Linked DNA regions of Canis lupus familiaris. The protein of the gene in region 2 interacts with the protein of the main gene of each other region in a pairwise test. Links are inferred from orthologs where the notes say so. Each region holds a gene or a part of one and is shown on either strand. Other genes may lie near its edges. The genes, in order: ZNF576, AP4B1 and TEPSIN.

What was found.
Region 1: the proteins of AP4B1 (region 2) and ZNF576 interact in binary tests that used the Homo sapiens proteins (3 or more experiments, as listed by UniProt). The two-hybrid records come from large-scale screens. The link is inferred for Canis lupus familiaris from reciprocal best matches to the Homo sapiens genes AP4B1 and ZNF576.
Region 3: the proteins of AP4B1 (region 2) and TEPSIN interact in binary tests that used the Homo sapiens proteins (3 or more experiments, as listed by UniProt). The link is inferred for Canis lupus familiaris from reciprocal best matches to the Homo sapiens genes AP4B1 and TEPSIN.

What each region holds. Positions count from the first base shown.
Region 1 is NC_049222.1:112,246,051-112,251,284, forward strand, and holds the start of ZNF576 (zinc finger protein 576), read right to left. Parts: upstream 3,303-5,234; 5' UTR 2,577-3,302; intron 2,403-2,576; 5' UTR 2,387-2,402; coding exon 2,302-2,386; intron 1,758-2,301; exon of another isoform or gene 913-1,757; coding exon of another isoform or gene 849-912; coding exon 747-848; intron 649-746; coding exon 221-648; 3' UTR 1-220. Other genes in the region: IRGQ (immunity-related GTPase family Q protein), read left to right, coding at 4,017-4,546. UniProt on the Homo sapiens protein: May be involved in transcriptional regulation.
Region 2 is NC_049238.1:52,233,910-52,238,401, reverse strand, and holds part of AP4B1 (AP-4 complex subunit beta-1), read left to right. Parts: intron 1-310; coding exon of another isoform or gene 311-499; exon of another isoform or gene 500-762; intron 763-1,043; exon of another isoform or gene 1,044-1,163; intron 1,164-1,272; 5' UTR 1,273-1,327; coding exon 1,328-1,440; intron 1,441-3,017; coding exon 3,018-3,242; intron 3,243-3,717; coding exon 3,718-3,848; intron 3,849-4,225; coding exon 4,226-4,373; intron 4,374-4,492. Other genes in the region: DCLRE1B (5' exonuclease Apollo), read right to left, coding at 311-499.
Region 3 is NC_049230.1:1,688,781-1,694,049, reverse strand, and holds the start of TEPSIN (AP-4 complex accessory subunit tepsin), read right to left. Parts: upstream 3,218-5,269; 5' UTR 3,176-3,217; coding exon 3,125-3,175; intron 3,018-3,124; coding exon 2,945-3,017; intron 2,787-2,944; coding exon 2,695-2,786; intron 2,580-2,694; coding exon 2,486-2,579; intron 789-2,485; coding exon 721-788; intron 522-720; coding exon 443-521; intron 309-442; coding exon 237-308; intron 1-236. Other genes in the region: NDUFAF8 (NADH dehydrogenase [ubiquinone] 1 alpha subcomplex assembly factor 8), read left to right, coding at 3,492-3,575, 3,693-3,807, 5,247-5,269. UniProt on the Homo sapiens protein: Associates with the adapter-like complex 4 (AP-4) and may therefore play a role in vesicular trafficking of proteins at the trans-Golgi network.

The DNA.
Region 1 (5,234 bases), on a different chromosome or scaffold from region 2:
CTAATTTCGCTATATCCCTGAAGGCCTTTGTGTCCTCCAAAGACTGAATCTGGAGATGAGCATCTTCTGGGTCCTATTTATCAGGAGTCCTTTGCCTGTCCAGGGAGGGAAGCACATCCTTCCAAGGCGCCCATCCCTTATCAGAGGTGGGTTCTAGCAGCCACAGAACCCATCCCCCCCACACACACACCCATTGCCCTAGGGAGGGTGTAACCCTCACTCAGAGTTCCCCCCGGGCATGCCGGATGTAGTGTTGATGCAGCCCAGCTTCCTGGGCAAAGTCCTGACCACACTCAGTGCAGGCAAAGGGGCCTGGAGGGACACGGGTCTCATGCGCCTGGCGGTGCCGCCTCAGAGAAGCAGCCTGCCCAAAGGTCTTGCCACAGTCAGGGCAGGGGAATGTAGGGTGGGCAGCGGTGGGTGCAACTGGCGTGGAGGGCCTGGCTGCTGGACCGTGGCTGCGCTGATGGGCGAGCAGGGCCTTGGAGGAGGGGAAGGAGCGGGCGCAGGTGAAGCAGATGAAGAGGGCCCCCTGCAGCTTCTGGGCCACGAAATCAGCTGGGTGCTCCCGCTTCATGTGACGCTCCTGGAACTTGGAATCGGCGAAGGTGATGAGGCAGCGGGTGCACTGCGGGGCCCCCAGGTGGCCTGAGGGACGTGGGGAGAGGTCGGGGGAAGCCAGCAAGAGTCACCAGGACCTCTCCCAAGCCCCAGGGTCTTGCCAACAATTTACATTCAGTGCTTACTATATGCCAGCTGTACGTCAGGGCTGGACAGTGGCACAGGCAAACTATTACAGGACGTTTTATGGATGAGCAGACTGAGGCTCTGAAAGGTTAGGCAACTTGCTAGGAAATGAAATGGTGGAGTCAGGAATGGAACCCAGGGAGTGTGCTCTCCCAGCAGAGCCATGTGATTAGAGCACAGCCTCTGGAGCCAGACTACTTGGCACTGAATCCCAGATCTGCCACTTCCTAGGCAAGTACAACGGTTTCCTCATCTGGAAAATGGGGTCATAACCATATCAGTATGGTTGACTGATCAGTACAGTTACAACTACCTCATGGGGTTGTTGGAGGGAGTAAATGGGTTATTACTTCATATAAAGTGCTTAGAACAGTGCTACACAGTGGTTTGTGGTTACTCGTATTGAGAAAGAGAAAAGCAGCTTGACAGGGGCTGGCCTGGCACTCACAGCTAGGCCTTGGTGTTCTCCTGTTGAACAGAAGCAGTTTCACAGAACCTTGTCAGACAAAGCCATGCTGTGACTGAGATGAATCACATCAAGACCATGCCAGAGTAACGTCTGAACACAGACAAAACATGAACATTGTCCAAGCCACAAAAATGACCAAACATCCCCCTATCCTGGCTCACAGGAGGGGCTGCTGCTGCTTTATCAATCACAGCTTGAGCCTTTGTACCCCCCCTCCTGGATAAGATTTATTTACACAGCCAACCTATCTTTTGCCCCTACTTACTGGCAGCATTTAATTGGAACAAAACCCTTCCTTGAACCTTCTCCCAAATCACCTAAGATAAGTCCTTTCTAACACTGAGATGCCCCACAGTGCTTCAGGGTGTGTGTGCTTCCTCAGTGCAATGAGCGATAAACCCAACTTGTTCAAATGCAGGTGTGTTCCTGGTGGTCTTTGGCCGGAGGACCTTGACACTGGAGCTCATTGTCCCAGATAACCTCTTTGCCTCAGTTCCCTTATCTGAAAGCAATGCCAATTCCATTGGGTCTGTCAGGAGGACTGAGATAATGAAGGTTAAACTCTTAGAAAGCGCCCAACACCTAGTAAGCATTCAGTAGAAGCTGTTGCTATCCTATGTCAAACTGGCTACCTCTGCTAACAGCAGACTCCCCGATATCAAACCTTCCCCATCTCTGCCACTAATCCCCTTTACAGCCGTGTCACCTGAGTAGTGGCAACCTCTTTTGACAGGGAAACCCGAGCCCAAGTCACACACCCAAAGTCTGGGGCAGAGTTGGCACTGGAACCTCGGGTCTCCTCTCTCAGTGTCCAACATTTTCTCCCACCCAAGCCTCTCTGGGTGCCACTCTGTCCGTCCAAACTGCAGCACATTCGAACTTACGTGGCCAGAGCGGGATGGGTACATCTGAGCACAATAAAGGTAAGGGTAGAGAATGGCAGTTCCTGGTAGGGCAGCTTATAAACCATTTATTACAGCCCCTTTGCAGCAGGCGAGTGCTTGTTACATGCCTGGGACACTGAAATCCTTTTAGCTAGCTAGCATCGGCTCCAGCACCCCACCCGTCTGGCCAGCAGCACTCACAGATGTCGCCTCCTGGGCTGCGGGGACTCCTCTCCTGGGACGGATCCTGCTGCTCCGTGGCCCCTTCGAGATGCGGGTCCTCCATAACGCCTGGGATCCCTCTGGTCAAGAGAGCAGCGCGCATGACAGGACAGTAAATCAAGTGAAGTCGCTCATGTATCCATTGCATGAAGGGGCCCGCAATCCTATGACCTCCGGCAGGCTCCCCTTGCTTCCCGCCCACCCCCACCCCACCCCACCCCACCCCGTAAGAGGCCATCCTCTTGAACTCTAACCTGGTGGAGCTCTCCTCAGGGAAGCTTCGACCCTCTCAAAAGATCCGACTCCCCAGGCCTGTGATACCCCGTGGAGCCGTCTGACCTGCGTGAGACCTCTGGCCTCCCACATCTAACTCCCTGAAGTGCGGGCATGGAACCCTTGATCTCTTGACACCAGCTCTCCCACGTGTCTTGAGGCAGGTAGTGGCGCCCCGGGTCTAACCCGCCTCCTCCCGGGAGGCATCTTTCTCTGACATCCTGTGACCCTCGTTCCACCCCGGGCCCCCGCCTCCCACGCGCGCCTTCAGCCTCGGTTCCCTCCTCCCGAGGCCGGGTAGCCCCAGGCCTCGGCTTTTCTCCGGACAGCAGCGGGCAGCTCTCGTGGCGCCAGTCGGCCGCCTCGTCACAGCGCCGCCACCCGGAGGGAAGCGGGGTAGGGCCCCCGAGGCTCAAGGTCCCAGGGGCTCCCACGCCCTTTCGCCGGAGGAGCCTCTCGACGCCGAAAGCCCGGCTACTATCCGGCAGTGATGCAGTCGCGCCAGCCGGGTCCTCAGAGAAACGGGAGGGGTCCTTCCCCGCAGCGGGATGCGTTATGATGACGTCGCGGCCGCCCGTGCCGGACCGACCTCCGCTTCTTGCGCAAATGTGGCCGGGCGCTGCTGGCGCGCAGGCGCTCTGACTCCCTCATTGTTCGGGGCCCCGCGGCAGCAGCAGGGGGGAGCCGGCGCGCTTCGATTGCTCTGCGCAGCCGCCGCCAAGGGCTGTAGCCCCGAGGTCACGCTTCCAAGACACACCCCCTCCTTAAAAGAGTGACGTCAGGTTAGAGCCCTCGGAACGGGTCTGGACGGCCCCCCCTCCGCCCCTCCGCCCCAAATCGGGGCGCCCTAACCTCTTCGGCCTCCGTCCGCCCGACCCCAAGGGCGGGGCTTCTCAGCGGCTGACCCGCCGCCGCGGATCGCGCTCTCCGGTGACTGCCAGCGCTTTGCTCGGTTAGTGGTTTGGAAGGGAGGAGTGCGGGAATAAAAACATCCATGTCCCTGAGGGAGGAGGGGCCTGGAGGTCCGGATGTCTAAGATTTTGAAACCGAGAGAGTGGGGCGCCTGGGCGGCTCAGCCGGTTGAGCGTCTGTCTTCTCTCAGGTGATGATCCCCGGGGTCCTGGGGTGGAGCCCCGCATCAGGCTCCCGCTCAGCGAGGAGTGGGCTTCTCCCTCCGCCCCTCCCCCCCGGCTGTGCTCTCTCTCTCTCTCTAAAATCAATAAAATATATATTTTTAAATGTATCCAGAAAGAGGGCGGACAAGCCACCCGGGTCCTTGGGGAATAGACAGGGCGTGGGTGCCGGATGTTTCCCTGGGAGTGACACGCAAGAATGGAGGGGGGACAGAGTGAGCAGACCAGGAAAGAAAAAGGTCGAGTGCTCCCTGACCCGGGTCTGCACCACCCCCTTGCCTTCCAGGTATGCCACCGCCACGGGGTGACGTGACCGCCTTGTTCCTGGGGCCTCCGGGCTGTGGCAAGTCCGCGCTGATCGCAGCGCTGTGCGACGGGAATGTGGAGACCATAGAGATTCCCGAGGGCCGACCGGACTCCGGGATCCCCAGCCTGCGAGCATTGGGCCCTGGCCTCTTCCTGGGCGAGCTGAGCTGTCCGCCCGCAGCGCCAGGGCCCTGGGCGGCGGAGGCCAACGTGCTGGTATTGGTGCTGCCCGGCCCCGAGGGGAACGGGGAGCCCCTGGCCCCAGCGCTGGGAGAGGCAGCGCGGGCCGCCCTGGCCCGAGGGACCCCGCTGCTGGCTGTGCGGAATCTCCGCCCTGGGGAGTCACAAGATGAAGCCCAGGCCCGGGATCAGACCGCGGCCCTGCTGAACGGCGCGGGGTTGGGGGCCGCTGCTCTCTTCGTGCTGCCCGCGGACTGCGGCCGCCGAGACGGCTGCAAGGAATTGGAGCGCCTGCGGGTGGCGCTGCGGAGCCAGGCGGAGGTGCTGCAGAGGTGAGCGAGGACTTGAGGCCTAGTGCTTTACATTTCACATCCAGAAAATGTTCTTTGAGATCGCGAGACCCCACCCCCAGTGAGTTTGGGGCAGGCCTTAACAGGATAGCTGCTGGGGGCCCTGCTCTCTGGCCCTGGTCCTGCCCCTCAGCGCAGGTTTTGAGGTCAGCGAGGCTCCACTCCAAGCCAGCACTCAATGCTGGAGCCTTTCTTGTCTTCTAGGCTCCGCCCCACCAAAAGGTCAGCTCGAGGTTCTGACCCGTCCTCCCAGGTTCTGCCCCCCGCAAGCATTCTCAGGTCCCAAGCCCTGCTTCACTGAGCATTTTAGGAGAGGCGAGGACCTAATGCCCAAATACTTCCCCCATGGCAAAAGTTTGGAGGAAGGCTTACTCAGCACACAAGCCTGCGATCCCCGCCAAGATGTTACCCAGGGATTCACACTTTCGAGCCCTCCTCGTCCTCTCCACCTTCAGCTTTGCTCCACCTTCAGCTTTGTTCTCAAGCTACACTAGTCCTTGTAAAGCCACACCCTCAGTGAGCCTTGCCCTTTCTGGATTTCCTCCCCCTCTGCCTTTCTTTAATCCCAATCCCATCTCATTTCTATGCCCACTCGCTGGCTACCTCCTAAATCCTCCCCCCCCCCATCCCTGGCCACCTGTTTTATAGAAGTCCAAATGAGGCCCACTGG
Region 2 (4,492 bases):
GCCGCTGGAGAACATGTGTAGTCCCCCAGCACATTAGGTGGATTCTGATGAGACTAAGGAAGCACTGGCCTGGTTTACATGAAAAGGTAGGTAGTTTCCTTGGGTGGACTAAAAGATCTCCCCGACTTCTAGCTGAAACATCCCAAGTCGGCCAGTCAAGAAGCCAGGCGCATTTCTGGATTCAAACCACTCCCGCATTTGTAAAACTCGGCCCTCCTGTCCCCGCTCTACGCGCCCGAGGCTGTGACGGATCGCACAGCGCCACGGGACTCCGCCCCGCCCCCTTCCCCTCCCCCGAGCCCCCGGGTACCTGCAGCTGACGGTGCACGAGGTGAGCCGTGATGGGGGAGCAGTAGAGCGGCCGGGCCCAGGTGCTAGACAAGCCCACGGTGTGGTCCGAGTGCATGTGGGACAGGAAGAAGAGCCGTGCGGAGCCAGCCCGGCGCAGGCTCCAAAAGTCCACGGCGATGGGGGTGTGGGGGATCAGGGCCCCGTTCATGGTGGCGGGGCCGCGGGCTCACCCGCGGGATCCTCATGGGCTCAGGGCTCCGCGATCGCGCCCTCTGGAAAGTCGCGCTGGGGGCAACGGGAAGCCGGCCCGGGAGAGGAAGAAGCCCCTGCAGGCGGGGACAGAAAGAAGGAAGCGGCCGCGCTCCCGGGAGGCCCGGCTGGAAGCGCAAACCGCGCAAACCGCCCGCCCGAGCGCCACTCCTCCCCGCGCGCGGGAGCCGGGGCTGAGGCCGGGCACTCAAAGCGCGCGCTGCCGGGCGCAGACAGGCCGAAGCAGCGGATCTCCGATGGTCGCCGCGCCCCCGGCAGAGGGAGCTGCGCGGCTGCGCCCCGCGGAGCGGCGGGGGAGGGCGCCGGGAGGTCGGCGTCCGGGCGGCGCTCGGCGCTCGGCGCTCCCGCGGGGGGGGGGGGGGGAGGGGGGGCGCGGCTGGGCGCCGTCGGCCCGGAGGAGGCGGGACTTCCGCAGGGCGCGGGCCGGGGCCTATCGGGGCGGGTCGCCGCGCGGAGGCGCTCGGACGGCGGCCCCGGCCGGGAGGGGGCCGCGCCCTGGGGCGGCGAGGCTGGGAGTGGGGCGGAGGGCCTCGGGGTAGCCGGGGCCGTCTCGGGGCGGAGCGAGCCGGCCTGCGGGCCCCAGGAGGGAACCGCCGGAGCGGGTGCGGGGCTCGCCGGGCCGTGGAGCCTGGGCTGCGGCCCGGGGGAAGCGGAGGCGGGGCCGACCTCACGCCTCGGGGCGCTTCGCCGACCGACCTTTGCTTCGCCCAGGTTCCCCCGTCAGGGCTGGGAGGAGCCCGCGGGGACTGCTCCTGGCCGGGAGACGATGCCGTACCTGGGCTCCGAGGACGTGGTGAAGGAGCTGAAGAAAGCTCTGTGCAACCCTCACGTTCAGGCGGATAGGCTGCGCTACCGGAATGTCATCCAGCGAGTGATTAGGTATCAGCCACGGCCCGCGCTCCCCGCCGCCGCGGGCCCTCCACCCCTGGCCGCTCACACCGGGCAGGGCACGTCGGGTCGCCCTGCTGCCCCGCCGGCCTTCGCAGCCTCCCCCGGGGGACCCACTTGACTCCGTTTACTCGGGAGAGTGGCTACACCCGTGCCTGGAACTTACACTGCTGACTCCCTCTAGACCTATAGAATCTGGGACAAAAAGCCTTTTGTATCTTCAGACCCACATATCCTACTGCCTGCTGGGCATTCCCTTCTGGATGTTTCTTCAAAGACATGCAAAATAGCACCTGTGTCCTGCCCCTCTCCCCAAACCTGCTCTTCCGCTGGTATTTGGGTTGAGGAATGTCACCATCCAGCTGACCAGGGGAGGGAATCAGTCTTGATGACTCTTGATTTTCACTTCTCTGGTCAGATGGTATGGATATATAGTTCTAGATATCCATCTTCTTTTCCTTAAAAAGTTCTACCTATTTATTTTTTGTTGGCACCGCTGTTCTGGTTTTATTATCAAAGCAATTGCAGCGGCTTACCAGTAGGTCACCTTGCCTCATTTCAGTCAAGTTTCCCAACATATGAGTTTGAATAATGCATAACTCTTGCCTGTGGTTGTGGATTGCAAACTTTGGTATGCACAAAAGTCCCTTGGGGTGCTTTTTTTAAAAAATGTAAAATTTTCATCCGGTCCAGTAATACTGCTTTTAGTAAGGTGGCGTGGAACCCAGGAATATGCATTGGAAACAGACATCCCATCTGCTTCCTGTAGGAGACCACCGCTTGAGAAACAGTGATCTACAGAATAAAGTCCAAACTTCTTATCATAGCAACCAAAGAACACCCTGCTTAGGGAACTACTTGCAGACTCGCAGAGTGTAGCATTACTTACCTACTACACTTGCCTGGAAAATTCCAGCTCATTCAACTGAAGTATTACTTCCCCTTTGGAAACATTTTTTATGATTTTTTTAAATTTATTTATTCATGAAAGACACAGAGAGAGGCAGAGACACAGGCAGAGGGAGAAGCAGACTCCATGCAGGAAGCCGGATGCAGGACTCTTTCCAGGGACTCTAGGATCACACCCTGGCCCGAAGGCAGGCACCAAACCGCTGAGAAACCCAGGGATACCCCCAATTTTATGATTTCTTAGCAGTATTAGATTTCTGGATCCCCACTGCACCTTGTCTGTTACTTCTGTTTTAATACCTACCTGTGGTACTGTAATTAGTGGCATTTTTTTTATCTTGCTCCTTAGTCATATTTTGAGTTCCTAGAGATCTGAGACCATGCATTCTTCAAGATTATATCCCCAGAGCATATCCCTGGAATGTAGAAGCTGAGTTACACTGGAATGTACCAGGAATTCAATAAGTGTTTGTTGAATGAATAGAACATTTGTGGTAGGCCCATAGTGTGAAGTATTGTGCAGTGTAATAGGCAAGGTAGATGTGGTTGCTTCCTTCACAATCCAGTTGGATAGCCAGGATGTGTATAGGTAAAATGCCTTTTGTTGTCGGCTGGGGATTATGTATTTTACTTTTTTCTACTGTGTGTATTGGTTTCAGGCACATGACTCAGGGCTTGGACATGTCCGGTGTTTTCATGGAAATGGTGAAGGCGAGTGCCACTGTAGATATTGTTCAGAAGAAGTTGGTTTATCTGTACATGTGTACATACGCCCCCCTGAAACCAGATCTGGCTCTTTTGGCTATTAATACGCTGTGCAAAGACTGTTCGGATCCCAATCCGATGGTGCGAGGGCTGGCATTACGGAGCATGTGTAGCCTTAGGTGAGTACCCGCTTCCCTGACTGTTTATCAGTGGCTGATGTATTCAGGAGATCATGGGACATGTTTTCAATGGTGATAATCTATTTGAGCTTCGTAATACTAGGGAAAATGCTGTTGTAACCTGAACTCAGGTTTTCAGCCATTGCTTAGGCTTAAAAAAACTATGTCATATGGTTACATTAAAGGGAGTTTTCCATCCTCACTGAAATAGTTTTTGGTTTTGGGTAAAGGTTTCTAAACAAGTCAGTAAATATAGATAATATGTAGATAATATATTTTTGCTGCCCCTGGAGTATTATTCCAAATGAAAAATCAAGTCTGACTTTTTAAGTTGGGCAGTGGCTTTCCCTAATTCTTTATGATGTGATAGAGGTACATTCAAACATCTACTAACCCTCTTGTTAAGTGAATAGGGGCTGAAGTATGTCAAAACTAGTATTTCAAGATCTGGCTGACTCCAGGATGTGTTGCTTAGGATGCCTGGTGTGCAGGAATATATCCAACAGCCTATTCTCAATGGCCTGCGAGATAAAGCTTCATATGTCAGGAGGGTGGCGGTCCTTGGTTGTGCCAAGATGCATAATCTTCATGGAGACTCTGAAGTGGGTAAGTTTCAGTGTAATCCATCATGATCAGTATTTATTTGTGTCTCCATTATATGTATGGTTTTGTAAAAGATGACATGACTTTGGTAGAAAATAGTAATATGGCCCTACTTCTGTACTTGCCTCTTTAAGTAGAAAGGCTGGTTTGGTATTTTTTGAGATTAGAGAAGTCTTTTCTTTGGGGGCCCAGGTGAGATCCATTGGATTAGCTACTTAGAACAGTATGGAGATGGCAATTTTTTGCCTTGCACTTTGTTATTGCCTTTGTTATTTTTGAGGCAGAGAAGTTCAGCTTTGTCTACCTGGAGTTATTACTCTGGTTCTATTCCTGAGACTCTGAAGCTGTTCTTTATCTGAGATCTTTGTGCTCTTTTATAGACGGTGCTCTGGTAAATGAGTTATACAGTTTGCTGCGTGACCAGGATCCAATTGTGGTTGTGAATTGCCTGAGGTCTCTAGAAGAAATTCTGAAACAGGAAGGAGGTGTTGTCATCAACAAGCCCATCGCCCACCATCTCTTAAATCGGTTTGGTTGCCTTAGTGCTCTTTTTGTTATTATGAGATCTGCATCCTAGTGGGATCTTGACGTGTTAAATTAAGGAGACATCTTTTTTTTTTTTTTTTTTTTTTTTGGAGTTCGATTTG
Region 3 (5,269 bases), on a different chromosome or scaffold from region 2:
CCAGGCCCAGCACCCTCTGCCCTTGGGCCCTGGAAGGAGCCGTGTGTGCAAATGAGGCCCAGCCTGACTTCTCCCCTGCTGGCTAAGCAGACCCGGCCGGCCTCGTCCCACAGGCCCCGGCAGAGAAGGTGGAGTGGGCAGGGCACGCCAGCTGGCCACATCACCCTCCAGGGCTCGGCAGGCCTGAGCTGCCAGGCCCTCGCCCCCACGGCTCTGGGAGCCCACGCAGCACTCACCCGTGTGGCCCCGCTCCTTGCTGTAGCCGAAGCCCTGGAGGGAGCCCTGGGGTCTGGACTGCGAGCCCATGCCTGCAGGCAAGTGTGGCTACTCATCCTCAGCCCTGCGCAGAGTGGCACGCCGGCCGAGGACAGCAGGTGGGGAGAAGGGACCCCAGGCCTTCCAGAGGGAACACCCAGCGGCAGGGATGGACACAGCGGCCTACCTGCTGGAAGCAGGCCCCTGGGAGCCTGGGAGTGAGGCGGAGGGGACACGCTGTCAGAGAATAGTGCGCTTCCCAAGTCCTAGATGAGGAGGAGGGTGCTCAGCACGTGCAGCTGGGCTGCCATCCCCCCCCATCCCCCCGTCCCCAGGGTTCTCAGAGGCCAGGCTGGGTGGGGGGGACGGGGGGCTGGTCCCACAGCAGGAACAGAGCCAGGGTCCCAGGCGGTTGGAGAACAAAGGCCCAGTGCTGCCCTAGAGCCGACCTGAGTCCCGACTCACCTGGGCGGCCGCCCGCACCTTCTGGTACAAGCTGTTCCCGTGGAGAGGATCCGGGGGCCCTGAGAACGCTGCGGGCAGAGCCGGAGAACCAACGCTGAGCGGGCGCTGGTGACCGCAGGGGTGACGCTCCAACACTCGCGTTCCCTGGGGGGGTGAGCTGCAGCCCATCCCGGCCGTGACCAGGCCCCCCAGGGGCCCCTACAACTCTGATCCCCGGCAGGTGGCCCTGGCAGCCCCAGGGTCAGGGTTAGCTCCCTAAAGCACAGGTCGGACCTCAAATCCCCCACATGACAGCACTTCCAGGTCAAAGTCCTTACAGCAGCCATCAGCCCGCGGAAGCTGCCACCCCCCCAGAATGCTCTGCCCCATGGACAAAGCCTGGAGAGCACCCAGAGCCCCTCATCCAGGACGCCCTGCCCCAGGCTGCTTCTAGAGCCGCACCCCTGCAGGCCCCAGCTCCCATGCTCACACCAGGCCTGCGTGTCGACCTGCAAAGCACGACGTGGGTGGCCCCCTCCCTGACCCCACCGTCTCTCTGAGTTCCTGCAGGGGCAGCCTTACTACCTCTGCACCCCCTTCTGCCCGAAAGACACACAGAGGATCTCGTCCAATCCAAAGCCCCACAGAGGTCCCGGGGGGCCGGGCGACAAAAGCCCGCTCTTTATCATGACCCACAAGCTCCACCTCTCGAAGGTCTGAGCTCAGGGTTACAGCAAGTGAGATTCTCCAGAAAAAACGAGCCCACCCTAGGCTCTGTCTCATCCGTCACAGACGCACCTCTCTTCCCAGCCCCCTGGCACCGTGCTGTCTCCACTGCGGCTGGTGGCCCAGGACCAGCAGCCGGGAGCCGAACCTCCAGTGAGTGGGGATGGCACCCCCTCATTCCCATGGGACTCCTGCCCTGGGGCCACCTCCCCACAGCCTGGCGCTGTCCCCTGGGCTTGGAGCATGGCAGATGGAGGCTGTGGCCACGTGTTCCTGGGGTGCAGGACTGGGGGACGGCTTGTGTGCAAGTTGGCAGCACAGACACGCCCCGGCCGGCGAAAGTAAGCGAGGCAGGCCTGCTGTTTTTGCACAGGAGTTTTGGGGGGCACTGGTGACGAGCACGAGCCCCGGTGGACACCGGGGGCAGCGGCCAAGTCTGGGGGCAGGATGCTCTCCGGGGTGCCGAGTGCCCAGCCTCGCCCAGCCTGTCCTTGAAGGGCTGAGGTGGCTTCAGGGCGGGGAGGTGCTGCCTAACGATGGGGGTCCTCCGAGCGCACCAGGTGCCTCCCCGGGGCTCTCACGGGCCCAGCTCGGTGTGCACGGTTCCTGCCTGAACGTGGGCCCTTCCAAGACTCCCCGAGGCCGGGCGGCGGGGCCTGTAGATGCTGCAGCTGCCTCACCTGAGGGAAGGTCTCGGGCCACGCCTCCCAAGTTCTAGTTAAAGAGAAACAAACAGGACAGCCCCCGGCGTGGGTGGGGTGAGACCGGCGGCTCCCCTGCAGCCCCATCTGTCGCCTAGACCGCGACAGGCCAGGCCCCCCTCGTGCAAGCTCACAGCGCTCCCTGGCTCGGGCCCTGAGGACACGAATCATCTCTGGCGGGTCGGGCACTAGAACAGGCAGGACGGGCCTGGGCCGCCCAGGCCGGGCAGGACACACGGGCAGAAAGTGACGGGCCAGACGCAGTAGGGCTGGGGCGCAGACGGGAGCTGCCAGGAAGGGTCCTGCGGTGGGGGTACCCCTGGGGGTCGGCGCAGGGCCCCCCGCCCCGCGCCCGGTACCTGCAGCCTCTTGGATGAAGGCGGGGTTGCGCTTGAGGATGAGCACGGAAGACGGGGAGCCGTGGCCACACAGGTGGAGCAGGATCTTCAGCACCTGGGGGGCGGGCAGGTGGGGCAGGCGGCACGCACCCCGCCGCGCCCCGCCTGCATCCGCCGCCCGCGGGTGGGAGCTGGGCCTGCCCTGGGTGGGGGGCCGCGCGGGGACTCACCTTGAGCTTCACGCGGCCGGAGCCGCTGTGCAGCCGGGTCAGAAGGTACTCCAGGAGGCACTGGCTGCTGCCCGGGGACTCGTGGGAGATGCCTGGCCGGCCGTGGTTAGGGAAGGGCTGAGCGGGGTCGGCCGCGCCTCCCGCCCCCCGGCCCCGCGCGGGCCTCCCCGCCGCCCCGCCGCCCCCCCGGCCTCCGGCGCAGGAGCTGCAGCGGCCCGGCCCGCGGGCGAGCGGCGGACACGAAGGATACGGGCGATCTCCTCGAACAGGTAGCCCGGACACGGGGCGTCGTCATCCGACGTTCCCTTCAGGAGGAGCGGGAGCTGGAGAGGAAACAGGGCCCGGCCCGCAAGGCGTGAGCGCCGCGGGGAGGCGGCCGAGGGCGAAGGCAAGAGGCCCCGGCGGGGGCTGAGCGGCCGCCCGCACTCACCCGGTGCAGGAAGCTCAGCCGGTCCCGCAGCGCCGGCGTGGCCGCCATCATGCCGGTCACCTTCCGGCCCCCCCGCCGCCGCGGCCCCCCTCCAATCCCCGCGCACGCCTGGCCCAGCTGGCCAATCGCCCGTGCGGGGCGGGCACACCACGCGAGCCTGAACCAATCCGAAGTCCCACGTCAAAGACAGACAAACCCGCCAGCCACTTGCAGTGTTCCCGGAGCCGGGTCGCCGTTCCGGAAGGGGGCGGGGCTAGCGGTGGGGTGGGGCTGAGGCCCAGCCAATCAGGGGGCGCACGGGACGCTGGGCGCCGGAAGAGGGCGGGCGCAAGATGGCGGCGCCCACGGGTGCTGGGAGTAGCGGCTCATGTCCGGGAACGGAGCGGTGTGGGGGCGCGTGCGGGGCCGCCTCCGCGCCTTCCCCGGGCGCCTAGCGGCCTGCGGGGCCGAGGTGAGGAGCCGCCGGGCGGGGCGGGGCCTGCGGGACAGGCGGGGCCCGCACGGGCGGGGCGGTGACCGGCGGGCGCGGAGGCCGTCGCGATCCCGGCGCGTCCCGCCCGCCCTCCAGGCCGCGGCCTACGGCAGGTGCGTGCAGGCGTCCACGGCCCCGGGCGGCCGCCTGGCGAAGGACCTCTGTGCGCCGGAGTTCGAGGCTCTGCGGCGCTGCTTCGCCGCCGCGGTAGGTGGGCGCCCCCGGGGGACAGTGGGGCGCGGGGCGGGGGGGGCCCGGGCGCAGCGGCAGCTGCCGTCTCCTTCCCGCGCGTGCGCTCAGGCCGGCCGCGCCGCCCGACCCCCGACGGCGAAGGGCATTCAGGAGGCCGCTCCCCGGGAAGGGCAGCCCCCGAGCGGCGCTCGCTGGCCCTCTGGCCCCCGCGGGGCTTCTGCTCCGGGGCCGGGACTCAGCCGCGCCGCATCACGCCCCTTCTGCTGCCGACGCGCAGCCTGCGGAGGTGCTGTGACCGCCTGCCCTGCCCCAAAGCGGAGAGTACGGGTCGCGTGGAGCACATGGGGTTGGACATGCTCCAGGAACCCGGCGCCCGAGGAGGGGGCCCTGGGCTGGGCCGGGATGCCCGCGATCCCCTGTGTCCCCCGGAGCTGCCGGTGCAGAGGACCCGACGCGGACAGGGCGGTTGAGCTCGGCGGACTCCGGGGACCTCAGGCCGTCCGTCCCCTGACATTCCGGGATCGATCATCCTGAGCGGGTAGCTGTGCCTTGGCCGCTTGTCTGGGAGAGGACAGTGCGAGGCTCCCTTCCCGGGGGCTCGGAGATTTTGCACCTCCCCGGGGACGCTCAGGCCTGGTCCTGCCCCCAGCCAGCCCCCCCCCCCACCCGTGGCCAGCCTCGTATATGACGTGGGCCGTGCAGCCAGGCACACCTGTCCCCTGCGCTTCCTCCCCGGTTCTACAGTCTTCCCCGGGGGACTCTCCACTCTGGGGCTGCAGCTTGGAAGAAGCTCCGTGGAAGGACCAAACACGTTCCCTACACACAGGTCTCTCCGTGGCACCTTTTGTGGTGAGGGCCCACCTGTTCCAGGCGCCTGTATGCTCCTTTGCCATGGTCGTCTACAGATGCTCCCACAGCGCGCCCTAAGCTTGGGGGCTCTTTCCCATGCCCCCATCACGGAAGATGACCCTGCTGAGAGCTGGGGGACCTGACGTTCAGGACGAGGGTGCTTGAGTGTTTGTCACCACGAGGAAATGCACCGATGAGCACCTTTTTGCCCAGTCTGCTGCAGTCCCCAGCCTTGCACAGAGCTGCCTGAGGAGGCAGAGAGGGTGCTGGGTCCCGTCCAGCTCCGTGCCAGGGAGCCCTGTCTCTGGGCAAGTGTTTTCGGCGCTTCACCTCAGCGTTCTCTGTAAGGAGCTCCCGCCGCCTTGTGAGCACTGAGCGCGCTGTGTTGGGGGGCCTGCACAGGGCCTGGTCCAGGGCGGCGTGGCTTGAGGGCCTTGGCCTGCGGCAGCTCCAAGCACCTGAGCCTCCAGCCACGCGGCCGTGCCGGCGCCCGCAGCCGGGCTCTCTGGAAGATGTTTGCTGCTGCCGGACGGCGTTTGGTGGGATGGTTTTCTTGTTTTATGGTCTCTTCTAACTTAACCTGTTCACACCAAATTCTTTATTTTCTAGGCCAAAAAGACCCTGAGGGGAGG